3 linked regions of the Daphnia pulex genome follow. Each later gene encodes a partner of the first gene's protein in a complex. Links are inferred from orthologs where the notes say so. Each region holds a gene or a part of one and is shown on either strand. Other genes may lie near its edges. The genes, in order: NEDD8-activating enzyme E1 catalytic subunit-like, NEDD8-conjugating enzyme Ubc12 and NEDD8-activating enzyme E1 regulatory subunit-like.

Region 1 (4,313 bases):
CCTCGCTGAGTCGTGCGTTCTCGTGGAAGAACAAATCTTTGGGGATCTGAGAGCAGGCCACACAGCTCTCGTTCCTTTCCGCTGCGTACGTGTAGGTGTAAATCCCTGCGGATGTGACGAGCCAAAGGAAGGAAGGAAGGAGAGAAAATAAAAATACAAGAGATTGAGAAGAGCTGACGCAAAAGAAAGAAGAAGGAAAAGTCGAAAAATACCGAAGAAAAGGAAATCGAAAAAGGGGGAAAAAAAAAACCCGTGCCCAAGTGCGTCTGCGATTCGCTGCGATGCAACACACACACACACTTGACTATAAATAACGTCGGCATTCGACTCCTTTGAAAAGAGATGGAGGGTGGAGAAATGGCAGAAAGGAGAGCAGCGAAAATGCAAGGAATTTGTAAAATGTCGCTAACCGTCGGTATCGTTGAAAACCATGTAGTTGTCCAATTTGGGGGCGCAAGTGGAGGCCAGCTTGAAGACTTCCAAGGCACAGGCCGCCGCCACGACGGCATTGGTCGACGCCACAGCCGGAATGATGTGCTTAACAACCCCTTGGGCCAAACGATACGTGACTCCGAGAATTCCTGAAGGGAAACGAGAAAGTCTAGAATCGATCAAGGAACACTACACACTACACACATACACAATAAAAGAAAAATAAACCAAATCTTCTTTTTTTTTTTCTTCTTTTCGTTCTGCCGCCAAAATAAAAGCAAAACCTCATGAAAATTGTAAAAAAATAAAATAACATTTCAAGTAATATAACGCTTGAGCGATTGTGTGTCGTCAAACCCGAAAGAGAGGGGTGGTTGGGGGAGGGGGGATCTATCGAGAGAGACTATATTACATACCGTATTCGCCGGCTCTCTGCAGGGCTTTCTCGTAAATCCAGGAAATCTTGCGACATGGAACACGGGAAAGAAAAAGCAAAAACAAAAAAACGGTGAATAAGAATCGTCAGTTGAGTGGAATACAGAATAAGAAAGGGTAAGCGGGACAGGAGAGGTGGGAGGGAATAGATCTAGCGATGAAATGAAATCACATGATTTGGATCGTCGCCATCGATCGCGACTTCCTCGCCGAATGGATTCTCTTTAGGCCACTGGAGAAGTCGAGCGTATTCGATGCAGTGCTCCGGCAACCGAGGTGTATGGGCTATGGTGCACAGCGGGAAGTTGATCTGTGGGCGTTTGTCGTGAGGGACAAGAAAAAAAAGAAAAAGGGAAATCACTAACCGAAAATGAGAGACAATCATCAAATGGATTCGTAAACAAATGCCATGAAATAAAGAAAAAAAGTGACGACTTTTGAAATGAGTCCAAAAGAAAAGCTATCAAGCGGAGGAGGAGAGTTTAATACTTGAGGTGGGAACAGATCCAAAGTGCACTCGATGCAAGCGTTCATTCCTGGCAATATCACTCGAACGTTGCCTTTGAATCCCTCAGTTCCGCCGTCCACCAACGGCGTAACGCTAGCATAAAAAGAAAAGAGAAGAAAAGCCGTCAAAACGAAATGGTCAGCATGAGAATACATCTGGCACGATATCCCCAGTAAAGACCAAGTCTATTATAGCCCAACCTCCCACAACCCACCCAATGAGATACGATAGTCGTTCAACCTTCCGGCGTTCATGGGGAGAATTCGAATCAAATCCTTGAATGGCCATTCAGTTTGCAGAGACATGACGGCCTAGTAGTAAATACCTAGAAGGGTCAAGTTCTCCATCCTCGTATGTGAGCAGGCTGATGAGCATCCCGTTGATCCAGCGGCGGGCGATAATCGAGTCAAGCCCGCAGACGACAACGTGGAAGCCAGAGTAGAAGTCCTGGTCGTAGTCCTGGATTTTGGCATAGTAACTGTAAGCGGACAAATGTTTGGCCAACCATAGTTAAGGATGACATAATCACAAGCAAGGACTGCAGTTAATCGAGCGAATATAATTTCAATCCGGAGGAAAAACCAAATTAAATGTGGCGACTTCTGGCCGGCAAACTAATTGGCCCCGACTCTCTTCGAAAAAAGATACGTACGCAGTGACGTTGGCCAGTGGGATGCGTTCGTTGATAAAGTTGGCAGCGACTTCAGCTTTCGGTCTGCCAACATCCGAGTGACGGAAAAGGAACTGCCGATTCAAATTAGAAACGTCGATAGTATCCATATCGATTACGTGGATGTTGCGGAAGCCCATTAAAGCTAAATTCTTGAGCAATTCACAGCCCAAGCCACCAGCCCCTACAACGAGAATCTAAAGAAGTAAAAAAAAAAGTTAAATGACACAAATTGTCACGAATAATTTTCTAACATTTGAATTTAGTTTTTTTTTTATTTGATGCACTATTCTCACTGACCTTGCAAGATTCCAACAGAAAATCGAGTGTTTCATTTGAGGCCTGAAAGTCTGGATGAGCCAATGGTCCACCTCGCTCCAAGACTTTTCTCAAGTGGAACCATCTGCCATTCCAGCTAGTGCTACTCATGTTGATCTACTTCCTTGGATGAAATAAAATTATGTGAAATATTGTATTTATAGATTCTTCATATCAAAGGCTAAGCAGACTACTGAAGCTTGTAGGCTATAACCTTCCTTCAACTACATAATTTCCAAGGAAAGAACAAAGTCTAGAAAAAGTAAGAAAGTACGAATCACAGTGAGATCTTACAAGTCTTGGAAGCACTTTACCACTATTTCTTCACTCGTACTTGAAATGTCTCCACTCGAAAATGAATCTTTGTACCTGCTCGATTAATTCGCTAATTATCCTTCGAAAGTATCTTTGAATATTATGAACGAGCAGACGACGGTTAACAATCGCAAATCTCTTCCGCCATCACCTAGTGTCGCTCTCAACAGTTTTCTCCTGCGCGCGCGGGAGTTTCGAGAAGTTCAAATTATAAAATTATAACCGAGGATTCTTTTTTTAAAAGAAGATTAAAAAAAAAACAACCATAGGAGCACCAAAATTATTGACCAAGGAAATTTGACTAACGATGAGGAGAATTAAAGTAAAATAATAAAGTTTACAAGTCGTAAACTTATTCTTATTTATGGAAAAGATTTTTGAATGCTTGTAAACGCAACATAATTGAATTATTTAGTAATTTACTAAAAATCTGTTTTTAAAAATCTATAATTTTTGATAATTTAAGAATTTTATCTGGCAAATTGGCAATGCAAATTGGCAATGCCAACATAGCCAATATGGCAACACCGGCACCCAGGTAGCCATTTTTGTTTGATTCAATAAAATTTTCGAACTCTCAGCAGAAAGTAATTTAAAATTTTCTAGTTACTTTATCCTATTCCTATTACCTGTTACTATTTTTGTGTTTTTAGTTTATTGTTAAAGTGAAAAGGAGAAAGGAACAGTTTTAGAATTTTATCGAATATCAAGCAAAAAAAAAGGAAGGAAAAGTATTAGTATAAATTAAACAAGCAGTTAGTGTTTGGTGCCATCTGTCATACTGTGTATAAGCATACAAAATTGTTTTACCAAAAATATGACATAGTCTAACATGTCAGATGTACAGGTTTGGTATAGTTTTTGTAAGCTTCTCTAAGAAAATTGTACCACGCTGAACCAGGGAAAAATCAATACCACACTCAGGGTCATTGACAAATGTTTTCTTGTATAATTGTGCAGTATTCAATGAAAAAATATGTTTGGAAACATTTTCTTGAATTAGCCTAAAGTAGTAGGCTACATGTTTTGTTTTTTTAAATTTTACCCAAAAATTGTTGAGGAAAATGTAAGGTAGAAGACCTTAGTGATAAGTGATAACTAGCCTTAAATGATGTGTATAACATTTAAGACATTATAACATTTAGTTGTGCACAAATATTTTTTGGGGTGTAAACAACATCATACACAACATGCATTTTCTGAACTTGACATACCTTTTCTTTTTAGGAAGGACACCTTCACCTGCATCTTGTGTCTATATGAGACAACAAGGTGTGATTGTTAAAAGCAACTTGCGTCATTGGTACTCCAAAAAATAAAGACATCGATACTGAGAAATCCACCGAGGAAATATTCCATCTTTACACGGTAGCACATTTCCATTTTTTATGATCATACGTAAAGTAAATTTGTTTACGTATTATATTTTTACCCCCCGTCCCATCTATCGGCTCGTCTATCGTCTATCGAAAAATTCTAAGAGAAGAGATAAAAAGGCGGAACTTGGAAACAAAAGGCGTTAATATCCAATGTGTCGGTTAAAAAAGTACAGCATTAACGCCGATTTAACGAAGTGGATGAAACCGAAGGCTTCACCTGGGCGTTGAAATGAGCTTTAGTAGTAGACTAGAAGTA
Region 2 (3,345 bases), on another chromosome or scaffold:
CCGACAATTGCTGCCATTTTGGAAGAGCTTCTGCAACAGCTTGTGATCCTCTCCAGGTGAACGTGTTATCATTAAAGTTAAGAATTTTCAGGCCAGGGTTATAAACAAGCGCACTGGCCAATGCGAGAATACCAGGATGTCTTATAAAATTTTGAGGCATCTGGACTTCTTCCAAGGTTCCAACTGCCTAAAAACAAATATGCTGTAATTAAAATAATTAAATAATTACTGAAAATAAAAAAAACAGTGACCTTGAAAAATTCTGACAGAGCAATCGCTCCTTCATTTTCAAGTCGATTTCTTCCAACAATGAAGGTTTTCAGACTCAATGGAGAACCAGCCTCTTTACTGGCTTTAAGACAGTCATTTAAAGCTTGGGCAAGCATCTAAAGTAAAAGGTAGCAGTATTATGATTACAAATAAATGGAATTTTAGTTACCCGTCCACCATAAATTCCAAGGCCATTGTTGTTTAATCTTATACATTTTAGAGAATAGCAGACAGGGCTTTTCAAAAACTGAACAAGACCTTCCATACCAACTGGACCTAATGCATTATCACTCAAATCTAACTCAATTAAGTTAGCTTTAGCCAAAATGAGTCCTCCTCCTAAGAAACTCTATTTAAATAAACGGTGGTTAATACTGTTAATCGTCACATGCACCACAATCAAATTACCAAAGCTTTTGGAATTTCATCTTTCAACCGGCCAGTAAAAGCATCTTTCCACAGTGCTCTCTGGAAGGTTGGTTTGGATTCTAATGCTTTGGCAATAGCCTTGGCGGCTTCAACACCAAGAGTGTTTCCTTCAAGGATGAGACCTGTCAAACCTTTTGCAGCCTGAATTGCATTAACAATAGGTTGGGCTGTTGAAAAATTCCAATAAAAAGAACTTTAATCCCATTTATAAAGCAAACATAAAATCAGAACAAACCGTCGGCTTCCGTATCTAACTTGAGTCCTTTCCCGCTAAAATCTACTATTTCTTCTTTCGCATTCAAATTATTGGCTTCAGAGTCTCCATTAAACTTAGTCACTGCCCCATTCATTTCTTCGAAGTTGTTGGATGATTTTTATCAGGTTCAACCAAGATGACACTCTAAAGTGTAAGTGTAGTATTATTTTCTATTGAGACAAAAATTCACGTGTCTAATTTGAACGCTAACAGTCGGTTTATCGACTCCCTCGTACCCTCGAATTCCCAAGCAGAAATTTCTCTTTGTGCAGCGTTTTCACATTTCAAAAATAGGGTAGGCCTATTGACTTTAGAAAAATGAATTGTTAATTACTATTCATAACTAAATTTACACCTAACAGTATTTAATATTATTTTTAATTTAAAAAAATCAGTTGTATCAATTGGATTTCTGGCAGCATAAAAAAATTTATATGGAATTGTTTTTGACGTTTCTCCAACAGTCTGCTGTTTAGTCCTCTCAATCAGCAAAAATTTCCCATCTGTTCTGTATTGGGCCAAATAAAATCTAGACTGGTTCCTCTGTAAATATAAGAAGGAAACCCCTGTTAAGTTTTCCCAAATTTGTAGATCTCGTATTTGTGGAGCCGACATCATGATTAAGCTTTTTTCTCTTAAACAACAAAAGAAAGATGAAGTTCCAGGTCGGGCAGGAAATCAAAAGAAAGCATCCGCTGCCCAGCTGCGTATCACCAAAGGTCTATTGACTAAAAACAAGTTCTGACCTTGTGACCCGTGTTCCATTTATTTTAATATTTGTTATAATGTCTCGTAGATATTAATGAGTTAAATCTACCCAAGACTTGTCAAATGGAATTTCCTGACCAAGATGACTTGCTGAACTTCAAATTAATCATTTCTCCAGATGAGGTATTACGTATTATGAAATGCAAAATATTTATTTGATTTATAAAACTTTTTTATAATTATTCTGTTACAGGGTTTTTACAGAGGAGGGAAATTTTCTTTTAGTTTCAAAGTTGGTCCTGGTTATCCTCATGAACCACCCAAAGTGAAGTGTGAGACACAGGTGTATCACCCGAACATTGACCTTGAAGGTAATGTGTGTCTTAACATTCTACGAGAAGACTGGAAGCCAGTATTAACAATCAACTCCATAATTTATGGTCTGCAGTACCTTTTCCTGGTGAGCTCTTTTTCTCAGTTCATTGAAATCCATCTTGTTATTAGTAGTCCTAAATTCCCTAGAATTGATGTATGTTGGTTATTTTATTTCACTGTTCTTGTGTGATTTTCAAGGAACCCAATCCAGAAGATCCATTGAATAAAGAAGCTGCAGAAGTACTTCAAACAAACCGGCGATTATTCGAAACAAACGTCCAAAAATCCATGCGAGGGGGATATGTTGGTTCGGTAAGCTAAATTACTTTGAAATCATATTTAAAAATAACACAATCTTGTTTTGAACCTAATTGGGGAAAACAGGTTTATTTCGAACGATGCTTGAAATAACATCCGAATCAGATACAACAAAAAACGAATGGCTCTTTTCAACTTTGATTTCAAACGATTTTTAACATGGAAATTTTCATGTGCAGAAAAAATAAACATCCGCGTGTTTTGCGTTCCATCATTAGTTTTTTATTAAGTTTCATCATTCAGCTGTAATTTTTTCTTGAATATCCATCACCGTTCTTTACTCGATATACGGAACGATACACGGTTCAAGCAGAAGGAGGAAGGGAATGGATGACTAGGCTTTGCTACTGATGAGAATAGAAAGTATCGAACTATTCAGTGTTCCTACTTCCTACAAAGAGCGCATTATCAGCAGTTAGATTAACCTTCCCAAGCAAAGCCTAAATGCACAACACAAAAATTCCCCTCCAAAAAAAAGGCAACCAAAAAAACAAAACAAATGGGCAATTTAACCTAATCAGACAGATTCAATAAGAAAACCAGGCATTGATGAAAAAAGGTCAAAGCACAGCTATCAATAAATGTGATAGTGACGGATGTTATCAAATAGAACCATATTGATAAGGAATTATACGATAACGTTAGTAAGAAACATTCATCTGCTAAATGGTGAAGTAGACCCATTTCCTCCGAAATTAAAAGAATCGGGAACCGTTTGTTGGTTGAAACTGTAGCCTGAAGAATTTAAAAAAAGAGAAAAAAAAAATTGTCTTATGATTATCATTAACACAAATCTAGGAAATTCTTACCTCCAGCCTCTTCAATCCGCTTACTTTCAGCGGCTGCGCGTCGTTGATCAGCAAGAACAATTACGTCGTTTAGGGCTTTTTGCTGATCACCTGTCAGAGCTCCAGTCAAAGCGTTGTACCAACCGGGATTAGTACCTTGAACTTCTTCTAGTACTTGCTTGAAAATGATATATTCATCTA
Region 3 (4,507 bases), about 320 kb from region 1:
TCCCCGCCGCCCACTTTTCTGCGTGTCTAGTCATATTTTTGTAGTAGACTATATCGGTAATGCTGTTTTCATCATCTTTCACCACCCCGTTTGATTTCGTTCGGTTTACAAACTCTCGTTTTTCTCATTAATTATTATGTAATCAAGGCGATTTATTATATTACACACAAGACAAGATCAAAACAATTTGAAAATAGTTTGTTTTCCACGTCCATTCGTCGCACACGGAAATGTGGAAGAAAAAGAGGCGTGACATCACTCCGCCCATTTGACGTCTTGGTTTTGATGGCCCCATGAAACCCGCAAGAATCTCGGGACGGTCGATTATGCACCGGCCGAAAGGGGGGACAGTGGCCGAAGGAGGATCGAATGAAATCGGAGCTGTTACTTTATCCCAGGCCTGTCGTTCTGGACTGTCGGCGGTAACATGATCTGACTCGGTCCATGTCACATATAAACAGTTGTAAAGTTGATGTCCCGTGCAAAGGAACACAAGTCGTTGACGAGAAGTTAACAGTGAGGACTCCCTCAAAGGCACCAGATCTTTATTTTGGGCATTTTTTTTCTTTCTATCTTCCCCTTTTAGATTCATGGCGATTCGGGTTGTTCGTTCCTTCTCGTTGAATTTATATACTACACCGCCCCGCCCTCGTGATCGTCTTCTTCCTCCCCCTTTTGACATCAAAGTCTCTTGTACACCATAGAGGCAGGCACACTCCCCCTCTTCTTTCTCCGCGTGACCCTACCCCGCCTCCCTCTACTCTTCTATCTTTTTTTCTTTCTATTTACAGTCGACTGCCACCGAACGTTAACATATGCCTGCAACTTAATGGCCTGTTAACATTGTGACTGTAGTCATAGGCGTTACACCGCCCTCCATGATGGGCTCAATCTTTTCTAGCTCTTTTTTTTTCCATTGCTATTACGTCTATAAAGAAAATTGTGGAACTTATTTTTAAAATGAAGGGGAAAATGTACCAGTTGGCACCCCGTTTGCGTGTGCCATCGATTGTTCTCGGCTAAAGGCTTCTTTTGCACTTGCAGCGATTTTGGGAAAAAGTACACTCAATACAGAACAAGAATAAGGGATTTTCTGGTGATGTAGCTACGTCTGGGCGCAAGACGTTCAATAATAAAGGCTTGTTGGCTTCTTTCTAAGGAACTCGATCGATACTCTTCAATTGATTAGACCTTTCGGGGGGCTTTACTCTTCTTTTCTTCCACATTTTGAAAGCTTCAGATTTTCCCTCTACTTCATGTTCTATCGATTGTCCAAAAGATGGCGTTACTTTACGGTCGATGTGTAGTGAAGCTAGATGAATGATAGATGGCGTAGCAGTAGCATCAACAAATCTAAAAAGTTTCTTTCGTTTGAGTGAACGAAAAGCCACTCTCGGAAGTTGTACAAAAGCATGGCATCTCCTTCACCAAAATCACCGGGTCAGCTCTCGGATAAAAGCAAAAAATATGATCGCCAGTTGAGGTAAAATACATTATTTAAATTTTTTGAAAACAAAATTTTTTCCTGATTTTTTTTTTTACAAAATTTTCATAGGCTTTGGGGAGATCATGGGCAGGCTGCATTGGAGAGTGCCAGTGTCTGTCTTATTAACGCAACTGCAACGGGAACAGAAATTTTGAAGTCTCTAGTCTTGCCTGGAATCGGTTCTTTCACTATTGTCGACGGTGCGTTGGTTTCTGGGGAGGATGCTGGGAATAAGTAAAAAATTGAATTACAGATATCTCATGTCTGTTGGCAGTAATGTCTTTTTTGTTTCACCCAGTTTCTTCCTTGATCACAACAGAATCGGGAAGCCTCGGGCACATGTGGCAACCCAGTTGCTGATGGAACTAAATGCAGATGTGAAAGGGGACTACATAGAAGAAACATGTGATCAACTTTTGTCAAATAATCCAGATTTTTTTTGTACATTCTCAGTTGTCATAGCCACTGGCCTTACTGAAAAGTAAGTGAATCATGTAATCAGGTTTATGACAAAGCTAAAAGTTTCTTTCTCATGTTTTACAGGTCATTGCATTCTCTGTCAACCAATTTGTGGCAGAACAATGTCCCCCTGGTAGTTTGTGTATCCTATGGATTTATTGGATCTATCCGGCTTCAAGTCAGTGAACATTGCATCATCGAATCACATCCAGATAACTTGCTGGAGGACCTCCGGCTTGATAAACCATTTGATGGATTGAAAGAGTTCATGGAGACCATCAAGCTAGCTGAAATGGATCACAAGCAGTTCAGTCATACACCATATTTAATGCTGTTGTACAAAGCCTTAGAAATATGGAAGGAAAAGCACAATAGTAATATGCCATCCAATTACAAAGAAAAACAAATCCTCAAGGATATCATAAGCAAAGGTTTGATGACTTTTTTGTTTTGTTTCTAAATTGTTCATTAGTTAAATACTAGTCCAATACAGAATTAGGATGCGGTATCGTCAAAGAAGAGGACTCTAACACTGGCGGCGAGGAAAACGTCGCCGAGGCCATTAAAGCGGTTAACACAGCTCTAAATAAGACCCAAATTCCATCCAGTGTACAAAAGATCCTGAATGACGACCAGTGCATTCATCTAAAAGAGAAAAACCCCTTCTGGATTGTGGCACGTGGAGTTAAAGAATTTGTGGAAAAGGAAGGAAACGGAGCACTACCCCTGCGTGGCTCTCTCCCCGACATGACTTCCGATTCTCAACGCTACATCGCTCTCCAGAATGTGTAAGTAGTCAGTTTACAATCAAGATGGAAAATAACTGCTCATGACGTTGGCACTTGGCACTTTACAATGCCCATAGATATCGTGAGCAAGCAGCTAAAGATGCCGAACACGTGTGGCGCCACGTACAACTCATACTGAAGGAGCGAGGCTGGTCTAGTGAATCGGTGATGGAAAATGACGTCAAGTTGTTTTGTAAGCATTCGTCTGAACTACGAATGATACGAGGCACTTCACTGGCGGCCGAATTGGATGGCAAGCAACTCCCGGGAGATGTCGACATCAGTAAGTGATATATCGGATTCCCTTCCTGAATTAAAGAAAAAACTACTTGTTGTCTAACTTCCAGATCAGCAGTTGGAAGAACCAGATAGCCCCTGGCTGCACTACCTTCTTTTAAGAGCTGTTAATAAATTCCACACGGAAAATGGATCACATCCCGGTTACTATGACGACAATGTTGAGACCGATATAGCTAAATTGAAGGTAAAGAAACATGTGATGGACTCGATGACAATAGACAATATTGATCCTAATTTGAAAATCTGTCGCAATGACAGGGTTGCTTCTCTCGTCTTCTTAACGATCTTGGTTGCCAAGGCGGTAGTCTTTCAAAGGATGACAATCTTCACGAGATGTGTCGCTACGGTGCAGCCGAGTTGCACGCCGTTGCAGCATTTATTGGTGAGCAATCCTCCATTCCAATTTCTGTCCATGCGAACAATCGCATTATTTGATGCCCCAGGGGTTTCATGTTTCTGTAACGATAAAAATGTGCTTCACTCGTGTTTTGATTTGGTTTGTTGCATCATTTGCTTTAATAATTTGTTCCTCCGTAAATACAGGTGGATGTGCCGCCCAAGAAGTTATCAAACTCATCACCAAGCAGTACGTCCCGTTGGATAACACTTTTATTTTCAACTCGGTTACGACTACCACGGCAACGCTGCGCTTATAAATATCCAAAAACAGAAAAACCCTTTCCTTCCTCCCACAGAAAAACCGAAATAAAGAAACAAGAAAAGAAAATGTACGATTTTTTCGCTCTCCTCTACAAATTATCAATAAATGGATGTATGATTCTTCAATAACCGAACTTCAATAACCGCCTCTTGCTATTCGTTAGAGAAAAAAGCCCTGTGGTAACGTTGGGGAGGATCGTTAGAGACAGCCGGCCATCCATCCTTCTTCCATCCATCCATCGCCGCCGGGTGGTGCGATGCAATCCTTTTAAGTCAGTCGACGAGCGGAAGACAAGAGAATCCATATTCTGCAATCCTTTCGACCTGATAAACGAGCGGCCGATTCAGTCATTAAGAGATCGAAAAGAGAAAAAAAAAGGGTCGTCGTCGCGAAGATGAAGAAGGAGAAAAAAGAATAAAACGAAGACGCGTGTAGATCAACCCCTGCGTGGGATCCTGTGCGCTGGCGCAAGCGCCGAGCCAACAGTTGGGAGCATCCAACAAACACGCACGTACATACACACCACAGATGAGAACGGCACGAACGGAGTATTACTCAGGTCACTTTGAGCCATTGCCCGGTTATTTAGTGAGCGCTGCCAAAAGAGAAAGAACCAGATCGAGTTGACGACATTCATCCGTGCGGATCGAGCATTAGGTTCACGCTCGACAGCCGAAGAGATCAACTGGTGACGACGTCTAACACATTCAATTCAATTGCTGATTCTTGGAGTGTTTTCAGTGAGCTGCTGAGCCCCATATCAAGATTCGCAACGGACCACTGCGTTGGTTTTCATCTTTTACCGTTGTCTTT

What was found.
Region 2: the proteins of NEDD8-activating enzyme E1 catalytic subunit-like (region 1) and NEDD8-conjugating enzyme Ubc12 are in contact, whole or in part, in a crystal structure (PDB 2NVU), measured with the Homo sapiens proteins. The link is inferred for Daphnia pulex from reciprocal best matches to the Homo sapiens genes UBA3 and UBE2M. Residues at the interface, in NP_003959.3 of Homo sapiens: His53, Pro54, Asp55, Glu61, Ser62, Phe65, Cys70, Gln149, Asn152, Asp153, Thr154, Arg157, Gln158, Phe159, His160, Ile170, Arg173, Trp174, Ser181, Leu182, Leu183, Asn184, Pro192, Ile195, Val196, Pro197, Leu214, Met217, Arg254, Met255; in NP_003960.1 of Homo sapiens: Lys3, Leu4, Phe5, Ser6, Leu7, Lys8, Gln9, Gln10, Lys11, Lys12, Glu15, Lys21, Gly22, Ser23, Ser24, Lys25, Lys26, Ala27, Gln31, Leu32, Gln35, Lys36, Ile38, Asn39, Glu40, Phe51, Ser52, Asp53, Pro54, Asp55.
Region 3: the proteins of NEDD8-activating enzyme E1 catalytic subunit-like (region 1) and NEDD8-activating enzyme E1 regulatory subunit-like are in contact, whole or in part, in a crystal structure (PDB 3DBR), measured with the Homo sapiens proteins. The link is inferred for Daphnia pulex from reciprocal best matches to the Homo sapiens genes UBA3 and NAE1. Residues at the interface, in NP_003959.3 of Homo sapiens: Trp34, Glu35, Gly36, Arg37, Trp38, Asn39, His40, Lys43, Phe44, Glu46, Arg47, Ser48, Gly49, Pro50, Phe51, Thr52, Phe56, Glu83, Lys86, Asn87, Leu90, Ser91, Val106, Ser107, Leu109, Asn110, Arg111, Phe113, Leu114, Arg116; in NP_003896.1 of Homo sapiens: Glu10, Gln11, Lys12, Tyr13, Asp14, Arg15, Gln16, Leu17, Arg18, Leu19, Trp20, Asp22, Glu44, Lys47, Asn48, Leu51, Pro52, Gly67, Glu68, Ala70, Gly71, Asn72, Asn73, Phe74, Phe75, Gln77, Arg78, Ile81, Phe92, Glu95.

The regions. Positions count from the first base shown.
Region 1 is NC_060021.1:4,975,785-4,980,097, reverse strand, and holds the start of NEDD8-activating enzyme E1 catalytic subunit-like, read right to left. Parts: upstream 2,851-4,313; 5' UTR 2,733-2,850; exon of another isoform or gene 2,638-2,732; intron 2,617-2,637; exon of another isoform or gene 2,488-2,616; 5' UTR 2,475-2,487; coding exon 2,346-2,474; intron 2,243-2,345; coding exon 2,028-2,242; intron 1,854-2,027; coding exon 1,701-1,853; intron 1,469-1,700; coding exon 1,357-1,468; intron 1,178-1,356; coding exon 1,040-1,177; intron 895-1,039; coding exon 849-894; intron 582-848; coding exon 411-581; intron 106-410; coding exon 1-105. UniProt on the Homo sapiens protein: Catalytic subunit of the dimeric UBA3-NAE1 E1 enzyme. E1 activates NEDD8 by first adenylating its C-terminal glycine residue with ATP, thereafter linking this residue to the side chain of the catalytic cysteine, yielding a NEDD8-UBA3 thioester and free AMP.
Region 2 is NC_060024.1:11,931,495-11,934,839, reverse strand, and holds NEDD8-conjugating enzyme Ubc12, read left to right. Parts: upstream 1-1,396; 5' UTR 1,397-1,571; coding exon 1,572-1,674; intron 1,675-1,751; coding exon 1,752-1,846; intron 1,847-1,916; coding exon 1,917-2,123; intron 2,124-2,236; coding exon 2,237-2,350; intron 2,351-2,422; coding exon 2,423-2,449; 3' UTR 2,450-2,573; downstream 2,574-3,345. Other genes in the region: ran GTPase-activating protein 1-like, read right to left, coding at 1-187, 252-386, 440-619, 679-866, 935-1,049; importin-7-like, read right to left, coding at 3,012-3,091, 3,166-3,345.
Region 3 is NC_060021.1:5,298,735-5,303,241, forward strand, and holds NEDD8-activating enzyme E1 regulatory subunit-like, read left to right. Parts: upstream 1-1,326; 5' UTR 1,327-1,412; coding exon 1,413-1,483; intron 1,484-1,555; coding exon 1,556-1,720; intron 1,721-1,784; coding exon 1,785-1,967; intron 1,968-2,029; coding exon 2,030-2,376; intron 2,377-2,438; coding exon 2,439-2,733; intron 2,734-2,810; coding exon 2,811-3,016; intron 3,017-3,080; coding exon 3,081-3,217; intron 3,218-3,291; coding exon 3,292-3,415; intron 3,416-3,576; coding exon 3,577-3,689; 3' UTR 3,690-3,819; downstream 3,820-4,507. UniProt on the Homo sapiens protein: Regulatory subunit of the dimeric UBA3-NAE1 E1 enzyme. E1 activates NEDD8 by first adenylating its C-terminal glycine residue with ATP, thereafter linking this residue to the side chain of the catalytic cysteine, yielding a NEDD8-UBA3 thioester and free AMP.